Arabidopsis thaliana: one gene and its partner. The protein of the gene in region 2 interacts with the protein of the main gene of each other region in a pairwise test. Each region holds a gene or a part of one and is shown on either strand. Other genes may lie near its edges.

What was found.
Region 1: the proteins of AT5G64170 (region 2) and RVE8 interact in a protein complementation assay, tested with the Arabidopsis thaliana proteins (one study listed by BioGRID).

What each region holds. Positions count from the first base shown.
Region 1 is NC_003074.8:2,941,987-2,950,687, reverse strand, and holds RVE8 (Homeodomain-like superfamily protein), read right to left. Parts: upstream 4,450-8,701; 5' UTR 4,230-4,449; coding exon 4,051-4,229; exon of another isoform or gene 3,775-4,050; coding exon of another isoform or gene 3,764-3,774; coding exon 3,706-3,763; intron 3,625-3,705; coding exon 3,501-3,624; intron 3,432-3,500; coding exon 3,285-3,431; intron 3,167-3,284; coding exon 3,041-3,166; intron 2,962-3,040; coding exon 2,852-2,961; intron 2,765-2,851; coding exon 2,705-2,764; coding exon of another isoform or gene 2,672-2,704; exon of another isoform or gene 2,533-2,671; coding exon of another isoform or gene 2,511-2,532; coding exon 2,418-2,510; 3' UTR 2,392-2,417; exon of another isoform or gene 2,119-2,391; 3' UTR 1,671-2,118; downstream 1-1,670. Other genes in the region: AT3G09620 (P-loop containing nucleoside triphosphate hydrolases superfamily protein), read left to right, coding at 1-448, 533-1,536; AT3G09590 (CAP (Cysteine-rich secretory proteins, Antigen 5, and Pathogenesis-related 1 protein) superfamily protein), read right to left, coding at 5,175-5,735; AT3G09580 (FAD/NAD(P)-binding oxidoreductase family protein), read left to right, coding at 6,641-8,074. UniProt on the Arabidopsis thaliana protein: Transcriptional activator of evening element (EE)-containing clock-controlled genes. Forms a negative feedback loop with APRR5. Regulates the pattern of histone H3 acetylation of the TOC1 promoter.
Region 2 is NC_003076.8:25,670,317-25,680,383, forward strand, and holds AT5G64170 (dentin sialophosphoprotein-like protein), read right to left. Parts: upstream 6,508-10,067; 5' UTR 6,236-6,507; intron 5,725-6,235; 5' UTR 5,619-5,724; coding exon 5,595-5,618; intron 5,256-5,594; coding exon 4,723-5,255; intron 4,609-4,722; coding exon 4,299-4,608; intron 4,033-4,298; coding exon 3,421-4,032; intron 3,261-3,420; coding exon 3,127-3,260; intron 2,907-3,126; coding exon 2,771-2,906; intron 2,690-2,770; coding exon 2,588-2,689; 3' UTR 2,495-2,587; exon of another isoform or gene 2,403-2,494; 3' UTR 2,150-2,402; downstream 1-2,149. Other genes in the region: AT5G64150 (RNA methyltransferase family protein), read right to left, coding at 1-415; AT5G64160 (plant/protein), read left to right, coding at 625-828, 1,130-1,247, 1,555-1,702, 1,789-2,002; AT5G64180 (tropomyosin), read left to right, coding at 6,847-7,023, 7,466-7,622, 7,746-7,888; AT5G64190 (neuronal PAS domain protein), read left to right, coding at 9,113-9,984. UniProt on the Arabidopsis thaliana protein: Transcriptional coactivator necessary for expression of the clock genes PRR5 and TOC1. Antagonizes REV8 function in the regulation of anthocyanin accumulation. Involved in red light input to the clock. Activates clock-controlled genes with afternoon peak.

The DNA of each region.
Region 1 (8,701 bases), on a different chromosome or scaffold from region 2:
TCTGGAGTTGCCCAGCAAATCAGTGAGCTTAAGCGAGGTACCGAGATTGTTGTTTGTACTCCTGGAAGAATGATCGATATTCTTTGCACAAGCAGTGGAAAAATTACCAATCTACGAAGGGTCACATATTTGGTAATGGATGAAGCTGATCGTATGTTTGATATGGGTTTTGAGCCTCAAATAACTCGCATTGTTCAAAATATTCGACCTGATCGTCAAACTGTGCTCTTTTCTGCCACTTTTCCACGCCAAGTTGAAACTTTGGCACGTAAAGTCTTGAACAAGCCTGTGGAGATACAGGTCGGTGGGAGGAGTGTTGTGAATAAAGATATAACTCAGTTAGTTGAAATCAGACCCGAGAGTGAGAGGTTCTCAAGACTTCTGGAACTTCTTGGGGAATGGTATGAGAAAGGAAAAGTTTTGGTCTTTGTTCGTTCGCAGGAAAAATGTGATGCTTTGTATAATGATTTGATGACCAAATGAGCCTGTCTATCTCTTCACGGGGGTAAGGAACAGACTGATCGTGAATCAGCTATATCTGATTTTAAGAGCGATGTCTGCAATTTGTTGATCGCCACAAGTGTTGCAGCCAGGGGTCTAGATGTGAAAGAGCTCGAGTTGGTTGTAAACTTCGATGCACCAAACCACTATGAAGACTATGTGCATCGTGTTGGTAGGACAGGTAGGGCAGGGCGGAAAGGCTGTGCTGTAACATTTATCTCTGAGGATGATGCAAAATATGCACCAGATTTAGTCAAGGCCCTGGAACTATCTGAGCAGCCAGTTCCTGATGATGTTAAAGCAGTAGCCGAAGGGTTCATGGCGAAAGTAAAACAGGGTATTGAGCAAGCTCATGGAACTGGCTATGGTGGAAGTGGCTTTAAATTCAACGAAGAGGAGGATGAAGTTAGGAAAGCAGCAAAGAAAGCACAAGCGAAGGAGTATGGCTTTGAAGAAGAGAAGTCTGACTCAGAAGATGAGAATGATGTAGTAAGAAAGGCTGGTGGTGATATCTCACAGCAGCAGATTACTCTTGCTCAGATAGCCGCCATTGCTTCTGCTGCTTCTAAGGCTCCTGTGACTGCTAACCAATTGCTTCCAAATGGTGGTGGGCTAGCCACTGAGCCAGGTATCCCTCCTACTGATGGAGCAGGCCGCGTTGCAGCCATGATTGCTGCTGCTAACGTGCAACAGTACCTTGCAAAGATTCAAGCTGATGCGATACCTGAACACTATGAAGCAGAATTGGAAATCAATGATTTCCCACAGAATGCTCGGTGGAAAGTTACCCACAAAGAAACGCTGGGACCAATATCAGAGTGGAGTGGAGCTTCCATTACCACTAGAGGTAAGTTTTATGAGGCAGGACGTATCCCGGGACCTGAGGAACGCAAGCTCTATTTGTTCGTCGAAGGGCCTACCGAAATATCTGTTAAGACAGCGAAAGCTGAACTCAAGCGTGTTCTTGAAGACATAACTAACCAAACCTTCTCCCTTCCTGGAGGAGCACAATCAGGCAGATACTCTGTTTTATAAAATCATGAGGTTTTTGATTCTAGGATTTTTTAAAAATTATTCAGAAAACTAGTAAGTATTGATTGATGTTGTTGAATACTTGAATACATACAATCTCTCCACAATTGCAAAATCTTTTTATAGACTTGACTTGGTTTCCTTATTAAAAACAAAATTCTGAATCAAACCCCATAATATATAAAGAAAGCTGTCAACTTTAAAACAATAGAGTTGCCGTCATTTACTTAACACTGATCTTGAACCATTACACTCAGTCCTAGGACTTATCTTTTACACAAATACACAACAACTGAACAAAAAGTTATGACGAGATTTTAGTACAAGAGTAACGGGTGGATGAGAATGAGGCTGTCTTGCAACTAGTAGAAAAACCCCTTACATATATTATACCTACCATTCACCCAACTAGTCCTGGTCAAAATCTGCGGAAGCCCCCTATAGCTTCAAAACTTGGCTTATGTTTCTCCTCAAAACAACAAAGACCTTTTACACAATTCCCACATGATGATGCAGTGACACGATTGTGATTCCAGTGACGTATAACACCAAAGTTTATTAAACATGGGAAACCAATGAGTAAACCTGCCAATACGGTGAGAACCATATAACTCTTATGCAAGACTTTACAAAGTTTGCAAGAAGCCTGAACTGGTGCTAATACTCAAAATACCGTAGTGTATATATCTTGTATCCCAGACTGTGACTAACTATAGAACTCTTATTGCAAACCTTAGAGTTAGAGAACTGTCACTAGACTTATATCTAACCATGAACTCATGTGACTTCTAATAGTAGTGAAATGTTTTCTTGTACTGAATTTAAAAGGTCAGAGGAAAAAGAGGGAAAAACACTTACTTGCTAGCTGATGGCTCATATTTTTGTTATGCTGATTTGTCGCTTGTTGAGTTCTTGACAAGGGAAACAACGCTTGGGAGCTCGGTCGTCACGTTGTCATATGATAAGAGGACTTTCCTCTGCAGCATCATTACAATCCGACTAGCTGAGGTTAGATTAAATTTGATCACGCAAGCGCAAAAAAACTCATTTCAATGTAAGGAACCAAAGATCATAAAAGAAGTGCCTCCAACTCATTGGTTGAGAGTGAAATAGTTTCAGACTCTGAGAAAGTTGGTCATCACAAATCTTTTATCGCAAATTTAACACTTACAGTGGATTCTAAATCAGGGTTTGATAAGTTAACTGTGAGGTTTCTCATCAATAACAGAACCTGTAAACACCATACTATGTGATTAGTGAAGAAATGCTAAGAGCTTGAACACCAATTAATCTGAAAGCTTGTAAACTCTTGACTCACAGTTTCGAAATTTATAGGATCCATTTCCTTGAGCTTTTCCACATGGCCTCTCGTTTCAGGATCAAAGACACTCCCAATGAAATTATAAACTTCAGCAAAATCAGGAACACCTACAAAGATAGTATCAGTACAGTCTCCATCATGCATAAAAGTTAGTGAAAAAACATGGAATTGTTCACAGATGGTTACCGTGAAGCACTGGAGGCTGTTTAGCCTTTCTTACAATCTCAGAACCTGATACTGTTCGGCTTGAGCTTCCCATGCCAGATGTAGAAGGGCTACTAACATTTAATAAGCCCTTTGATCCAATATCAGCTGAATCAGTGGCGTTATATGCCATAATAAGCACATGAAACGTCCTTTGATGGAACCTATTCTTACTACAACTACCAATAAAATGAAGAAAACAAAAAGGATAGACAAATGTGCATGCCTTCTGCTCCACGAAGAGTAGCAAGTTCATGTTGTGGTGAAATAACTCTGTTTAGCAGCATTGAGGCATCATCCCATGAAGCATATCCCGGCATGTCGCCATTTCGCGTAGTAGTAAAAGACGTGGAAACTTGAAGTGGCATTTGAGCTGCAAGAAAATGTGAGTTAAAAACTCAACTCTATAACCAAACTAAGAAGTATTATAAAATATTCGAACCGTTCTTTGATGCCTTTTGAGGATACGGATGAGCTGCTTTGCGCTTAGGTCGAGGAGGTGGCACATGAGCTAATGTCCCGTTTTTCTGAACCTTGAGAAAGTATTTTTGAGCATGACTCCTTATCTGCAGTACAAAGTCAAATAAGTTGAAAACATTGCCACAAAGTAACTGCGACCAAAAATGCAGAGTAAGCTATTTTAAAACCTGAATCACAGTCTTTGAACCAACAAAATCTTCAATCTTCTTCCAGTCACGATCAAACCTAAGGAACATAGAGGAGTAGTAGTATCAGCAGAATCAGGTCCTAGTTACATCAATAACACTTTCAAAAAGTCAACACAACTATAAATTTATTACAGTTGAAGTGCTCCAAGAAGCAGATCTTTTTAGCTAAGCAGATTTTTTATAGCTAAGTTACTACTAGACCTAAGCTAAGTAACATAAACTTTCCTCTGTTTGTTCAGTCTATAACTAACTAAACTCAGAAATCAGCAGCAAACTAAGAAATTTGAAGTCTCTAAAAACAGAGAAACAGAGATAAATTATTACAGTTGAAGTGCTTCAAGAAACTTATCGTGCTCTTCCTCTGTCCAGCTCTCTCTTGACTTGGTGATGGTATATGGTTTCCTCACTTTCTTAGACGAACCCTCTGCCACAGCATCCGTCGATGTTGGTGGTGGCGGAGGTGCTTCGGCGTTCGTTGGATTTCTTGACGGCGACGAGCTCATCGGTTATTTTTCAGATAAAGACAGGTGTAAGAGAGAATGCAGAGAGAGAAAGTAGGAAAAAGAAAAGTCCACATGGCGGGGAAGAAGTTGGGATGTGTATGTGGAGTAGGTTTCACTTTGATCTCAGACCATCCATTTTTCTGACTTTTTTTATTATTATTTCATTCTTTCCTACCACTTCATTTAGAGCCTCAAGCTTGAAGCACGTGTAGACTTGTAGTCTTTTGATTTCATGAAAATGAATCCAAAAAAACGAAAGAGTTTTATACTTTAATTAAAACAAGTGGCCTAACATTTATCTTTAACTTGCGAGTTTGTGGCCATCAAGCCATACAAGCTTTGGAAAAACCTGGCGGACAAAAGAGCTGAACTCTTCACCTGCAAATATTAGGTCGTTGTCTCTAATATCTAACTGCTTCAGTTTCATCAAATCTCTAAGCACCAAATACGCATCCTAGTATATACCAAGCACCTCTCTTCCAATTTCACCCGAATTAGAGGGCGGCCAAGAACAAAGGTACCTTGTTGTGTCCACTGGGTGCTTGCCGCCCATGTCGTTATGTGAAACATCCAACACTTTAGCTGCTTCAGATGTCTTAGAGAGTCAAGGGATGAAAAGCTCCGATTTAGGCAACAGAGAATTCGGTTTTGTATTCAAATCTTACGAAACAAATACAACAAGTCGATATGTCCGAGTGGTTAAGGAGATAGACTTGAAATCTATTGGGCTTCGCCCGCGCAGGTTCGAACCCTGCTGTCGACGTTTTTTTTTATTATTGATCTTTAATATATAAAATTAAAAGATTCCGAACCATTTGAATTTATACCTCTTCAATACATGGCTGTATATATGTAAGGACCAAGAATAATATACCATCTTCATTACATTAGAAGAAGAAAAAATATTTTGAATCTCTAACAATTTTTTCATTTTAACTGTTTTGATCAAAATGGTCTTTCACCTTCGTAATTCCCGCGTGGATCATATTCACACACCACAAGATAGCCACGACCGTTATGGCATTTCACACGTGCGCATCCAACGGCTGTGGTCTCTCTCCACACCATCTGCGTGTAATGGCCGCACATCTTTCCCGGTGCGCACGTGTTTGTTTTCACGTCGTAGTTAAACCTTTCCTCAAACCATCTCGTCACCACTTTCTCCGGCGACCACGTCTTCTTACGCCGGTGCCAGAAAATGTTCTCACCGTAAGGCCCACCTGAATGTATCATACTGCAATCGGACTTACGTTGTTTAGCCCATTTATCAGCGAATCGGGCCAGGTCTCTGTCCCATCCGAGCGTTGGCACGCCTGAAGAAACACGTGCATCGTTGTGCGCTTGTAGAAATTCTCTCGACAGTTTTGCTCTTCTCGCTCTGTTTACCAAACGCGCCGCCGTGTTCACCGCGTCGGGGATGGAGGTTCCGAGGACGGAGGGATGACCGGAAAAGAGAAGGAAGAGAAGAAGAAGACATGATGATGGATGAGACAACGTTACAGACATCTCCACGTCTCTGTATAATTTTGTCTCTCATCATGATTCCTCTGTTTCTAAGGGAGTTTTTTTTGTTACTTTTGTTCAGTTAGAGATTTTTCCATTTTCTGACATTTTAACAAATTTTCCTGATTCTGTTGTTTCATATCAAACAATTCTTATTGGTGATGATGAGAAAACTACCGTATATTTTTAGATTAAAAAAACGAAATTATTAAGGTTGTTATACTTTTCACAACCCAACAAAAGCTAAAAAGAAAAACAATTCCGTCAACAGCAGGATTCGAACCTGCGCGGGCAAAGCCCAATTGATTTCGAGTCAATCTCCTTAACCACTCGGACATATTGACTTTTGCTCATTGTTTCTACTATATTATATATATACTCAGATATTATCAGTACCAAAATAAACAAACAAAAATAAAAGCTTTTGGAGATAGAAGAAGAGTCTGGGAGAGCTCTTTTACTCATAGCAGTTAAGAAGACATGGAACAGAAAGAAAAAGACAATCCCGAAAGTCGTTTTATTTTCTTAAATATTTAAAACAAGATAGCAGACGAAGTATTAAGCAACAAAATCCATTACACTTATTTAAAATCATTATAAGCCAAAATAGACGGCCTATAAGCAATCACCAGTCTTCCTACTCTTCATTGGTCTTCATCTTCCGCAGGACTAAGGTCGTCTCTTGGGCTGTATCCGTCTCTAGGACAACGGTCCTCTCTGGGACTAGGACTCTGGTCTTCATAATTTGTTTTTGTTCAGATTAATAAGGAAAAGAATCAAGAAAACAAGACTTATTCGAATCTTTTAAATAATTATTTGAATATATATATATTATTTTTTCTAGACAAATAATTTTCCCGGGGAAAATAAAGTAAAGGAATGAGAAAAACCTTATCCAAACTTTTAAAATGCCCGTGGCGATCTCTCTCCCAACCTCATCTACTTCTCATTTCTTCCCTCGCCGCCGCGGCCATGCAAATCACCGATATCAACGCTTTTCCGGAGCTCAATCTTCCACGGAAGATCCGTACATTCGGAAGAATCAAACTGGCGTCATCATCATCGGCGCTGGACTCGCTGGTTTAGCCGCCGCAAACCAGCTCACCTCCAAACGAATCCCTTTCCTACTCCTCGAAGCTTCCGATGGCGTCGGCGGACGCGTCCGTACAGATATCGTCGACGGCTTCTTTCTCGACAGAGGATTTCAGATTTTCATCACCGCGTACCCCGAAGCTAAAAAGCTTCTAGATTATGAAGCACTGGATCTGCAGAGATTCTACGCCGGAGCTAAGGTGTTTTACGGCGGTAAATTTCACACCGTCGCTGATCCTCTCCGACATTTTTGGGATTCGGTGGCATCTCTCGCGAATCCGATCGGATCCGTCGTTGACAAAGGGCTTATCGCTTTGACGAGAGCTAGGGTTCTAATCAAGTCAGACGAAGAGATATTGACTGCCGCCGATGAAGTTCCCACCATTGATCTCCTCCGTAAGATCGGTTTCTCCGAAACGATTCTTGATCGGTTCTTCCGACCATTCTTCGGCGGAATTTTCTTCGACAGAGACCTCGAGACGACCTCGAAGCTCTTCGATTTCGTTTTCCGGTGTCTTGCTCTCGGAGAAAACACACTTCCAGCCATGGGAATCGGAGAAATCTCGAACCAGTTGGCAGCGAAGTTACCCGCTAAGTCCGTCTTGTTGAACACAAGGGTCGCTTCTATTGAGTATCCAAATGGATCGGGTTCGGATCCACCTAGCGTGAGGCTCCAAGACGGCAGCGTTATGAAGGCAGAGCTAGGTGTCATAATCGCCGTCGAGCAACCGGAAGTGAATAAGCTTCTCGATGGGATCAGAGACCCGGTTATAACAAAACCAGCTCGGAGCACTATTTGTCTTTACTTCACAGCTGAACCGAACCAAATACCGGTACAAGACCCGGTTCTATTTCTCAACGGGTCAAATTCCGGTATAATCAACAACATGTTCTTCGCTACAAACGTTGCTCGGACATACGCGCCACCGGGAAAGGCTCTGGTTTCGGTATCATTGATCGGATTGTTTGAGGATAGAACCGATGATGATTTAGCAGCAGAAGTTCTTAGAGAACTCTCTGGTTGGTTTGGTGAGTCTCCGGTTATGTCATGGAAACATTTGAAAACATACCGGATCCAATTCGCTCAGCCTAACCAATGTCCACCCACTGATTTGGTCAAGAGTCCTCGGGTCGGGTCGGGTCTTTACTTGAGCGGTGATTACATGACTTCTGCTACATTTGATGGAGCTTTGGTCTCTGGGAGACGAGCCGTGGAAGTTTTGCTACGAGAAACGGGACTAATCAAATAGATTTTTTTTGTTATTTAAGATTCTTTGTATGGCTTAATTCATGTCTTGTATGTAGAAGTATGTATCCTCTAAGATCATATGTTGGCAAATTAAGCATTATGGTTAATGCTAATGATAATGTCTAGCAAGACTATATATAAAGGCTCAATAGAGATGCAAGGTATGACTCAACCAATACCATACTAAAGGCTCATAGAGATGCAAGGTAATTCATGACTCGACCAATTCCATACAATAAAGATCTGTGTGTGCTCTCTTGCTGTGATTATGGGATCGACTGCTTTGTCACTATGGACTGGATTGACCCTGAAACCGAATTCCAATATTTCAAGTCCAGTGGAACCACCACAAATTTGTCTATTTCAGCTGAGGAAGTAGATATCAACTCTCTCTTGTTTGATCCCTAGAACAAAAGAGATCATCAACTTGGTACTACTAATACAAGCCATATACACCTGAAGAAGCCTCGAGTATGAATCAAAAACAATGGCAACAGAGGAAATTGAAGAATAAACACAAGTTCATTGGCTTATAGTCTTAATATAAAACTAGGGAGTCGGGTCAAACAGCAGAGGCTCTGATCCTCTTCTTACTAGCAGATTAGTCTTAGGACAAACCAGCTTTTAT
Region 2 (10,067 bases):
CCAACGACGCTCTCAATTTCACATTCTTCTCGCCGTTGTCCGCGATTTCGCTTCTATGAAGAATCACTAAAGGATCGTCTACGATTGAGTCTTCGATCAGCCATTTTAGCTCACGGTGGAGAATGACAGAGTCAAGAGTATCTTCGGAATTCTTCGAAGATTCCTCTACGGAGGACGCCAGATCTTTCGCCCAGTCGTGCCATTTCCAAACCTCCGATAGAGAAGTTGCGTGCGACGGCGTCCTAAGGTATAGCGGTGTCTTGGGAGTTATGCTGAGAGACTTAGTCGGCCGAGAGGATTTTGACTCTGTAAGCGACGTGTATTGCGGTGGTTTTTTCGCCGGAGAAGATGAGCAAAGAGGTTTAGCGGCAGAGAGCAAAGAGGTTAACCGTAGACTTGGGAAGATTCTTATCATTTCAAGGTTTTTGCCGCACAAACAGACCAAATCGGTTTATAAATATATTACCAACTAAACCGGATAATCCGGTTCTGTTTTTAGCCGGGTTTTGAACCGAGGATTGAAATAAGATTAACAAGGAATATAAGGGGCTAAAGCATAAATAAAGAAAAGTTCTTCTTATTTTTGTTTGCGGCTCCGATAGATCTTTGGAGCAACGAACAAACATGAGCTTGACGCTGCTTCAAGGCTATTCTTCTGCTGAAGAAGAAGAAGCAGAGGAGAGAGCTTTTGGGGATTACGACAACTCCGACGAAGATGGGGATAATGATGTTCGGAGATATGAATCGTCTTCTGTGTTTGATTTCTCTGCATCTGCCTCCTCCGCTAAAAACGCCGGCCTTCCTTCAGCTGACGACGTTTTCTCTCAGGTCTTCCTTCTCTTTGATTTTGATTTTATACACCTCAATTCATCGAATTGTCGTTTTCCTTGAGGAGATTCGCTGTGAGATTGAATGGTTTCTTTATTATAGATGAAAATAAGTTACTTGGATCTGTAGATTTGATGTGATCGGAATTTAGGGTTAGGAATCCTGAGACTAGGTTAGGTTTGGGGTTTGAATAATAAAGAGATCTTCTGATAGTGAAAACTTTTCAGTGTTCGTTGGCTTGGTTACTTCTTACTCGAAAAGCTTATAGTGAATGATTCTTTGCTTCTATTGAATTTTGCAGATTTCAGGGCCACCGGAGTTTCTAAACAACCGCACAGAAGCAGATAATGAAGCTTCAGCTAGAGATGCAGAACATGCAAATCGTATTAGTCGCAAAAAGAAGAAAGTTAAACCAAAAGGTAGCCACAACTCTTTTGCATCGTCTTAGCATTTTGGTTATAGGGAATGGTACATCTTTAGATGATGTTGAAGAATTTACATCAGTAGGTTTAAAGTTCACAAGATTACGGATTTGTATCTCGAAAATATATGTGAATGTGGATTTAGCTTTAGAAGCTTGTTTTGATACTTAAAGCATAAACATTGTGAAATATGAAACCAGGCACTTTGTGTTGTAATCTCTATCTATCCAGTTTCACAGTTCTGTTTATGGAACTGTTGTTATCTCTCGATCCAGCCTGATGGTTTCCGTTTATTGGCTTGTAGGTGTTGTCATGGAAGCAAAACCTCAACTAGTAGGAATCCATGAGAGAGTAAGAAACGATATTGATGCACCCCCATCTTCAGAGAGTGGTGAAAAGCGGATATCTACTGCAACCAATCCTAATGCAGAAGAATCTGCAGATCTCTTGAGGTATGAATAACCCTTGCCCTCTTCTTCATTCTTTAGTATAAATTTGCACAATGTGAGCTTGATTAGGATTTCTATGATGAGTTTAGGATGTGTGTGCAATGCGGTGTACCGAAAACATATACAAGCGCAAGAGGAATGGTATGCCCGATTTGTGGTGACCGGCCATTACCGGACGTAGACGCGAAGAAGAAAGGCTCTACGATCAAAGATAAAGAGAAGAGCAAAAGAATGAGAGGACAATCTTCTCACGCTTCTTGGAAAAGTGAAACCGAGATGCAGCTTAGGCAAACTTTCGATTAGTGTTTCTTTTACCTTTTACTACATTTGTACCATCCAAATCCAATTTCTGTAACGTAGCTTGTGACACAAAGGTTAATCTTATAATTTGCTTCGGAATGTCTAATTTCATCATTATTGAAATATATATATTTATGAGATCATCAAATATTTATTGGAAAATAAAACCCTAAAATTCGCTATTTTGAAAAAAAGAGAGTAAATACACAGCAGAATATTTTATCGCATTACAAAACGAACTAACATCTTTATCTACAGAATTGCTATGTCTCTACTTCTTCCTCTACTTAACAACTTGAACAGATTACAAAGGTAAAGAACATATCTTAAAGACCTGGTTCGAGCAACCAGGTGTACAATCAGGTTCGAGCAACCAGGTGTACAATCAGGTTCGAACCGAAATCTAGACCAGAAAGTTATCTCAACACATAAATACAACTGTGTTACAAAATCCATGATTCTAATGAAGAAGCAGTCAGGATTTTAGTAACTAACCTGAGCAATTTCGCTTAGCCAAAATCGAGATTAGTGTTAACAACAATATCTCGAATGCTTCAGCAATGAAAGAGCCAGTTTTATTTGACATCATTAATTGTTGTCACTTGTTACAACTTCTGCTTCGGGTCTAAGTTCTGTAGTTTCCTCTTGTTTCTCTATCCTCAGGCTCGGACTACTATTGGGCTGAGGAATCTGTGTAGATAGTGATGGGTAAAATGAGGCACTGTGTTTTGCACATTAAATGGCGGTGTAAGAATCGAAGGTTTAACTTACCATTGGATGAGATTTATAAGACAGAACATTGTTATCGGATGAAAGAGATGAGTCTGAGGGCCTGTGAAACAGCAAATGAGCTATCGATCGATCTATCGGGTTTGTATCAGTTTCGATATCCATGAATCCAGCATACCTGGATGAGACCACATACAGATATCAAAGATTAGAATCTAAGAGAAATGAAGGACGAGTACAAGAGCCCAAGTGGAAGTTTCTAAAGAAGAGAGTTACTAAATCTGTCAAGACTCGAGTCTAATCCTATATAAAGTTATAAGTTGGCATCAAGAACTTTACTTAGCAACAGGTGATAAAGGGTGAACATATTGAATAATTATGTAGGATGTGGTGCTTACTTGTCTGCTTCACCAGTCACGAGATGCGAGCCTGCGCCTTTCTCCGGTCTGTTTCCACCATGATGTCTCTGTTCCGCACTTTTTGCTAATCGGTATAAGCTGTCTCTTATGCAAAGCTTTGTCCTAACATCCAACTGGAGCAAGCAAGTGTATTATCAACCAAGTAAGCAAATGTATATGTAAATTTATTAACATATATACACTTTGATATCAATCACAAAGGAACAGCAAACTTTTACCGATTCCCAGGAAGCCTTTTCCTTATATCAACAATTATCTATTGACAAGTTGTACCTGTTCTATAACTTGTTGAAGCTGGCGAAAACTTGTTGCTTCCAGTGAAATGTCATCCACAACAGAGCTAACACAAGAACTTCCCTGCATATTTGATGTTTCCAATTCAGTTGCAGCTTTTCTGTGGTCATTCTCAAGCCCAATCTTCTGGATAGGAGCAGCATCAGGAAACACCATGGAGTCTGTCTTACTACTCTTCTTGGTATTTGCAGCAAAAGAAGGAGGCATATCTTGCCCAGGCAGCAAGTTGGCTCTCGTTTCAAAGACCTTCCTAAACCGATCATCAACAGTTGGACCTTGTAAGCTCTCGATTGATTGTGCATGATTTGATGTGTATGACTCATTTGAAGCAGAGGAAGGACTGGGTTTGTTCTCAGATTTAATACCAGATTTACTTTCACATGCTGATACTTGAACGGAAGGCTGCTCACAATTGAAATGCGAGTATGGCACATCTCGCTGTTGGAATGCGGAGGGAGGGTAATACTGGTTGGTATCCATTATTTCCCTTGAAATACCACTGTGCTGTAAAGTAAAACTGTTCTCCGAGAACCCATCACTTTTCCCATCCAGATGATGAAGATGATCAGTCTGCTTCTTCTCAAGATTTGCCTGTATAACAAAAATTTGTACTGATATGAAATTGCTGGAATAGTGTCAAGATTTCAACAGTACAAATACTTATCTAATAGAATATCCACTTGCCCTTAACGAAACCATAAACCACCATTGTAAAAAGCGTCATATCATAGTTAGAGGATTTAACTGAGGAAAACGTGCAACTAAATAAGTCATCATAGAAGGTAACATCCCATGTAGTTAATGGTTGCATGTGCCTTGGAAGGCGCAAACAATTCTGAAATAAGAAATTGACTAACCTCTACATCCAGCATCAATATATCCTTCTTTTGCAAACTTGTATCGAATACATTTTGTGATGATTTTCCTTGAGCTGAATCGTCCTCAATAGTATATCCATACTCATCTTCAACAGCATGGTTGGGCTCACTGTTGTTCAAAAAGTCTTCAACCTGCAACATAGCGGTTCTTTGATTTTCCAACATTTTGTCTGGTTTGAGATCATCTGTCATCGCGCCTGCTGTCTCCTCATTTGGCTGGGCAGAAGAGAACCACCCTAAGTCACCTTCATTATTAAGACTATCCAAGCCGAATGTTGAATCACAACTCCTGTGCGTCCAATAAACGAGTGTAGGCTCAGACAAATGTTACCATGTTTCTCCCATAAGCAATGATCCCCAATGTGATAAGAATATATAGAAAAGAGAATATCTAAAATGTTACCTAAGCATGTTGTCCACATCCTCAAAATTTCCTATGTCACCCCAGCCATAGAAGAGATCATTTTTTTCTTTATCTCCATTGTCGAAAAAGCTAAGATCATTTTCAGCATCCGGAATGCTGTTGAGGGAATAATTATATACGCCATCATTCGTTGCAGCGGAAGTGTCACACAACATGGGATCCCCAGTGGAGAAATTTTCAACCACATCTACGTGGCCACCATTGAAACCATGATCTGAAGTATTTGTATCCTCCAATGTCATATCCTGAACATCTTTTCCTGTTCCCGTATCACGAGAAACCGAAGAGCCACCACTATCTTTCTCAGGCCATGGATTTTTTCCTAACATGTTTGCCTCTCTCTTGATAAAAGTATTACTCTTTAGATGGTTTGTTCCACTACCCATATCATCATTTCTTCGTTTCTTCCTGTTACTAACTAGAATTGGAAACTGACCTCCATCCTCATACGCTGAGTCTGGCACTATACCATCATCGTTCCCATGAAATTCATCCGAAAGATAATCGCCTAGCTGAAAGGAAAAGAAAGGAAAGAAAACTTCAGCCACCAATTAGAAATCCACATTACCAAGTCAAAGAAAAAAATGACTAGGGAAACATCAAACCGAGTAGACTAACAAAGTATCCCCAATCCTGCACAGAACACATCCAAGTGGTAGCGATAACAAGAAGTAAAATATGAGATGCAAGAACTGTCCTATATTTTAAACGATTTTGAACCCAATAAAAAAAGGAAATTTCACAACAGTTCATTTTCCGGGAACATACGACAAGAGCAACAACGAAAGATCTAAATCCATAGTCTCATAGAAAAAAGATACACACACATATATGATTGTGACTCCACTCACCTCATGAATGTACAAGTCCGACATTCCTCCCAACTTCAGACTCTTTAATCACCACTAAAATCATGCACATTACCCCGATATGTCATCTCTATTGCAAAACATGTAACTCCCACAAACACTATTTCTGGTTCTGGATAGGAAATATAAATATATTAAACAGCTTCCAATAATAGAGAAATCGAACCCAGCATATAAGAAAACTTGACTTTTCTTATCCAGAATCAAATCCCATGAAACCCGAAATACATGTAATCCAAACCCTAAGAGTTAACCCATTCTTTCAACTATTCATGAATTCCAGAAATTAGACTCAAATTCTACAGCCAAAAAGTCAAATCTCATAGCAAGTAGCACAAAAACAAAGTAGGAGAAAAATCAGATAGTAGGATTCAACCATTTTATGCTCGTAATTTCTAGCAAAATCGAGTTAAACTATCATTATTAAACCGAGAGTTTACAAAAACAACTAAAATCCAGTGAAATGAGGCATTCAATGAAACTAACTGCAACAAAAAAAAAAACAATCAAATCTGAGAAATCCTCAGCTACCGCTGCTATGGAAACACTGAGGATAAGAACCAAATTTTCTAATTAAATTCAATCGAAATAGATTCCATCAAAGCCGAACGAAATAAGCTCACCTGTGAGACAGATTCTTCCACTAGCAACTCCAGAAAACTCCACAGATAAAATTGTTTACCAGAAAACAAAAAACTCAGCAGATAGAAGAGATTGTATCAATTCATCGAAGCTAGATCGAAAAAAAAAACTGTGTAGGACTTTCTAGAGATGTTCGGCAGAAGACGATGAAGGCTTCCTATTTTTTTTTTTTTGACAAACATTTTAAATTTTAATTAAACTATTGTTTTTGTTTCGGGAGAATCAAAAGACAAGTGACCATGATATCAACACGTGGCAACTAAATCAAAAGGTTTAACAGGCTTGGGTTTTTAATATCAGAATTCGTGGACGAGAGAGCAGTGTGAGATCCTATCAGTTCCAGTTTTATTATTGGTACACGTCATTAGTACCTTCTCGAAACTGGGCACGCCTCATCTTCTTATTGGCTTACATCGTAATGATGACATCAGCCTTTATTTACGTATAACAAATTACCATGCGGTTAAAAAAAACAATAGTTATATGGGCCGAAGAAAGCCCAAAGAATCTTTAGTTGTTTTTCCGATCGATCTGCGAGTCGAGTAGTTTTTTTATTTGCCGGCGCCGGGAGAGATCCTTTGATCTTTTTCCGATGGAGGAGCAATTCGGCGGGAGCGATGAGAGATGGAAAGGATCATTGGAGAATATAACGGAGATGGCATCGAATCTCGATTCGCTTCAGAAACTTCTCCTCAAGAAAGCAGTCTTCGTTGAAGAAGACACTTTCTCTAGAGCTTCTCTCGTCTCCGAGCAAGCCCGAACAATCAAGGTTAATCCTTTTTCCTGTGATAAAATTTGAAATTATAGAGCTTAATTGTCTGAATTTTGAGCTTCTTTTCTTTGACTTTGATGATTGCTTCTGTGATTTGTGGATTCGATCTAGTTGATCACGATCGCACTTTTTAGTTTGCTTTAGTACTACTATAGCTCAGTGTAATAGTGTGATTCTGGAATTGCATTTGACGGTGAATTTGGGAACTTGTAGTTGATCATAAATTTTGAATCTTCGATTTTGTGATCTGTTAATGGTACAAATGATCACCAAATCCTTGAAGACTGGACTTGAGGTTTCACTATGAAAACTCCCAAGTGCAATTATGTGTATTAAGTAGAAATTCTTCATGTTGTAAGTAAAAAAGGACTGTGTTACATGTTTGAGATAAGGGATAGTTTCAGATTGTCTCTTAACTCTGTTCAATGGTTTGTTTTAGGTTCTTGAGCAAAGAGTACAAACACTAGAAAGAGAACTAGATGCTGCCATTACAGCTGCTGCTCATGCTCGGTCTGAGAAACGCCAAGCTGAGTCCTCTCAAAAGGCTGCTGAATCACGTGCCCAAGATGTCACAAAAGAGCTTGAAAACACCACAAGTATGCACTTGATAATCACTTCTTGAGTTGATGCCTGGTGGCACCATTCTCTCCCGCACGTTTATCTGCGTTCCAGTTTCATATTCACTCTCACTCACTGACTTATACAACTCTTGGTTTCAGAGGTTTTCAAGCTGCATATGGAAGAGCTTCGAGGAATGCAAGAACAGATATCCAAACGCGATAACGAGATCAAACTCTTAGAAGCTATAATCCAAACGCTCGGCGGCAAAGAGCGGTTGGGAAAAAGCGACGTGAATGGATGATGATGATGCGTTTTTTCACTTGTAAAGGTTTGTACTCCTGAGTTTGTGGAGATGTATCACTTCGAAGATAAATGTATTTTTGTCTGTCTATTTGGTACGTTTTAGAATCTTGCCTGTTCTTTCAAGAAATGAATGTTACATGGGCCTGACCCTATAAATGGGCCTAATGTGAATCGATCGATACTAAAAATGGGTTTTATAGGTGTGTGTGTGTGGTTTTCACACGTTTGCCGCCGATAGTGCTGCGATGCCATCCAGATTCAGTAACGCGGCATCTCCAGGACTCCAGCCGTGTGGAGCAAGAAACTACGTAAATTTGACAGCTGAAGATGCAATTTCACAAAAAGAGAATAAAAGAAACAAAAGAGGATTATGACCAATTTAGAAAAAACTTTTTTCAAAAAAGTGATGCTTCATGGTTTTTAGCGTGTGGGGTGTCTCTCTATATTATCTAATTTTTTGGTAGAAACTAGTGTACAATATCTAATTTTGATAAAATACCAATGAAGGAAGTTTTGACTATTTCTGATTGCTTTATTTTTGTTTGCTTTGTTATAGTATATACAAGCATATAATTTTTATTTTTAAGGCTCGATTAAGTAAGGTAAGAAAAATGAGGATTGTGTCTAAAACTAGGTGGGGGTGAACCAAAGAAATACGTAAAGTAATAAATTAATGCAAAGGCCATTGTTGTTTACTTCACGCTGCGAAAGTGGTTAAAAAGAATCTATGGCTACTAATTATTCTCTTACAAATTTTCTTTATACATTTGGATAAAAGCAAGAACATAAACACTTTCTGATTATGACAAAGAATCTGAATTTCATTTTGCTGTTACTAGTCAACTCTAGTCAATTGTCATGCATATCATAGCACAGTAAACCATCTCTATCGACTATCATATTAATAAAGAGTCACTAATCAAATTTCCAATATTCAAAAAAATATATCGTAATCATGCAACATTTAAGTTTCGATAATCATTCAATACGAGTATATCCAAACCCTTGATATATGAAATATGTATTCCTACGAAATGGCCAAGTTTATTATTCCACTTTTAACTAATTTCAAGCTTATCACTTCATTTTTCTTTTTGCTAAATCCTGCACATGATTCAATGTTCTTGACCCCATTTGACGTACAAATACAATATAACGTGCATCTATTTATACGTGTATATATATGCAATCAAACCTCAAACACAACCACATAACAAAAAAAATGATGTCCGAGAAGTTCCCTGATGTATTCACTTGGATACAAAACATCCCACAGATCACCAAATGGCGCACAACTTCTCTTCCCTTTTGCATTTGCCCTTCAACTTCTGATTTTCCAAATTCAACCCTAAATCTCACAGCACAAAAGAGCCCTAGCCCTAAAGTTGTCACTTTCTCCATCATCGTCCAATCCAATAATCATTCTCCTTTGTATCTTTGGACCACTAAACAAGAGCTCAGCATCAACCCAAACTCACCAAACCCTTTCGATGAACTAACAATCATCTCTCTCCTCTTCAATTTCGTCGAAACTATCTTAACCTATACCTCTAATAGTTCCAACTATTCAACGATCAAAATCCCTAACTCCGATTCATCCAAGATCGGCGGTCTTAAAGACATAGTCAACACCGTGATTCTCACTCTCTCGTTCGTTGTTTGCGTCTACGAAGCTCCTCTGTATCTCCGTGAAAACTGCCTCAATACCCTCAAGAACCATTTGATTACTTGTCATACACGGCGAGCTACTATATCTCTGATGAAGCTTCTAGGGTCTAATTTGGAAGAGCAGTGGATGAGAACAGTGAATCTAGCGTTTACAAATTGGATCATCGAGCAGCGTCGTAGTCAGTCAACCAAGATCACAACAACTCCTTTGTTCTCTTACGCTGTTTCGGCTTATGGATTGTGGAAAGTGCAATTGTATTGTCCCGTTGAAGCCATGGAAGTAGAGAGATCGAGCAACCCAACGGCTGATTCGAGATTGTTGTTCTCTCTCAAGTTTAATCAGCTTGAAGGTGTGATGCAGTTCAATCACAAAGTTGTAGTTAGAGACAATTGGATCGATGTGATCGTGAAGATAGACAACATCAGGTACACATATGTTACTAAGACACTCTTGTTTTGTTAAAATGGCCTAAACAGTAAAAGCTTCTATTTTCTTATAAACTCTTCAA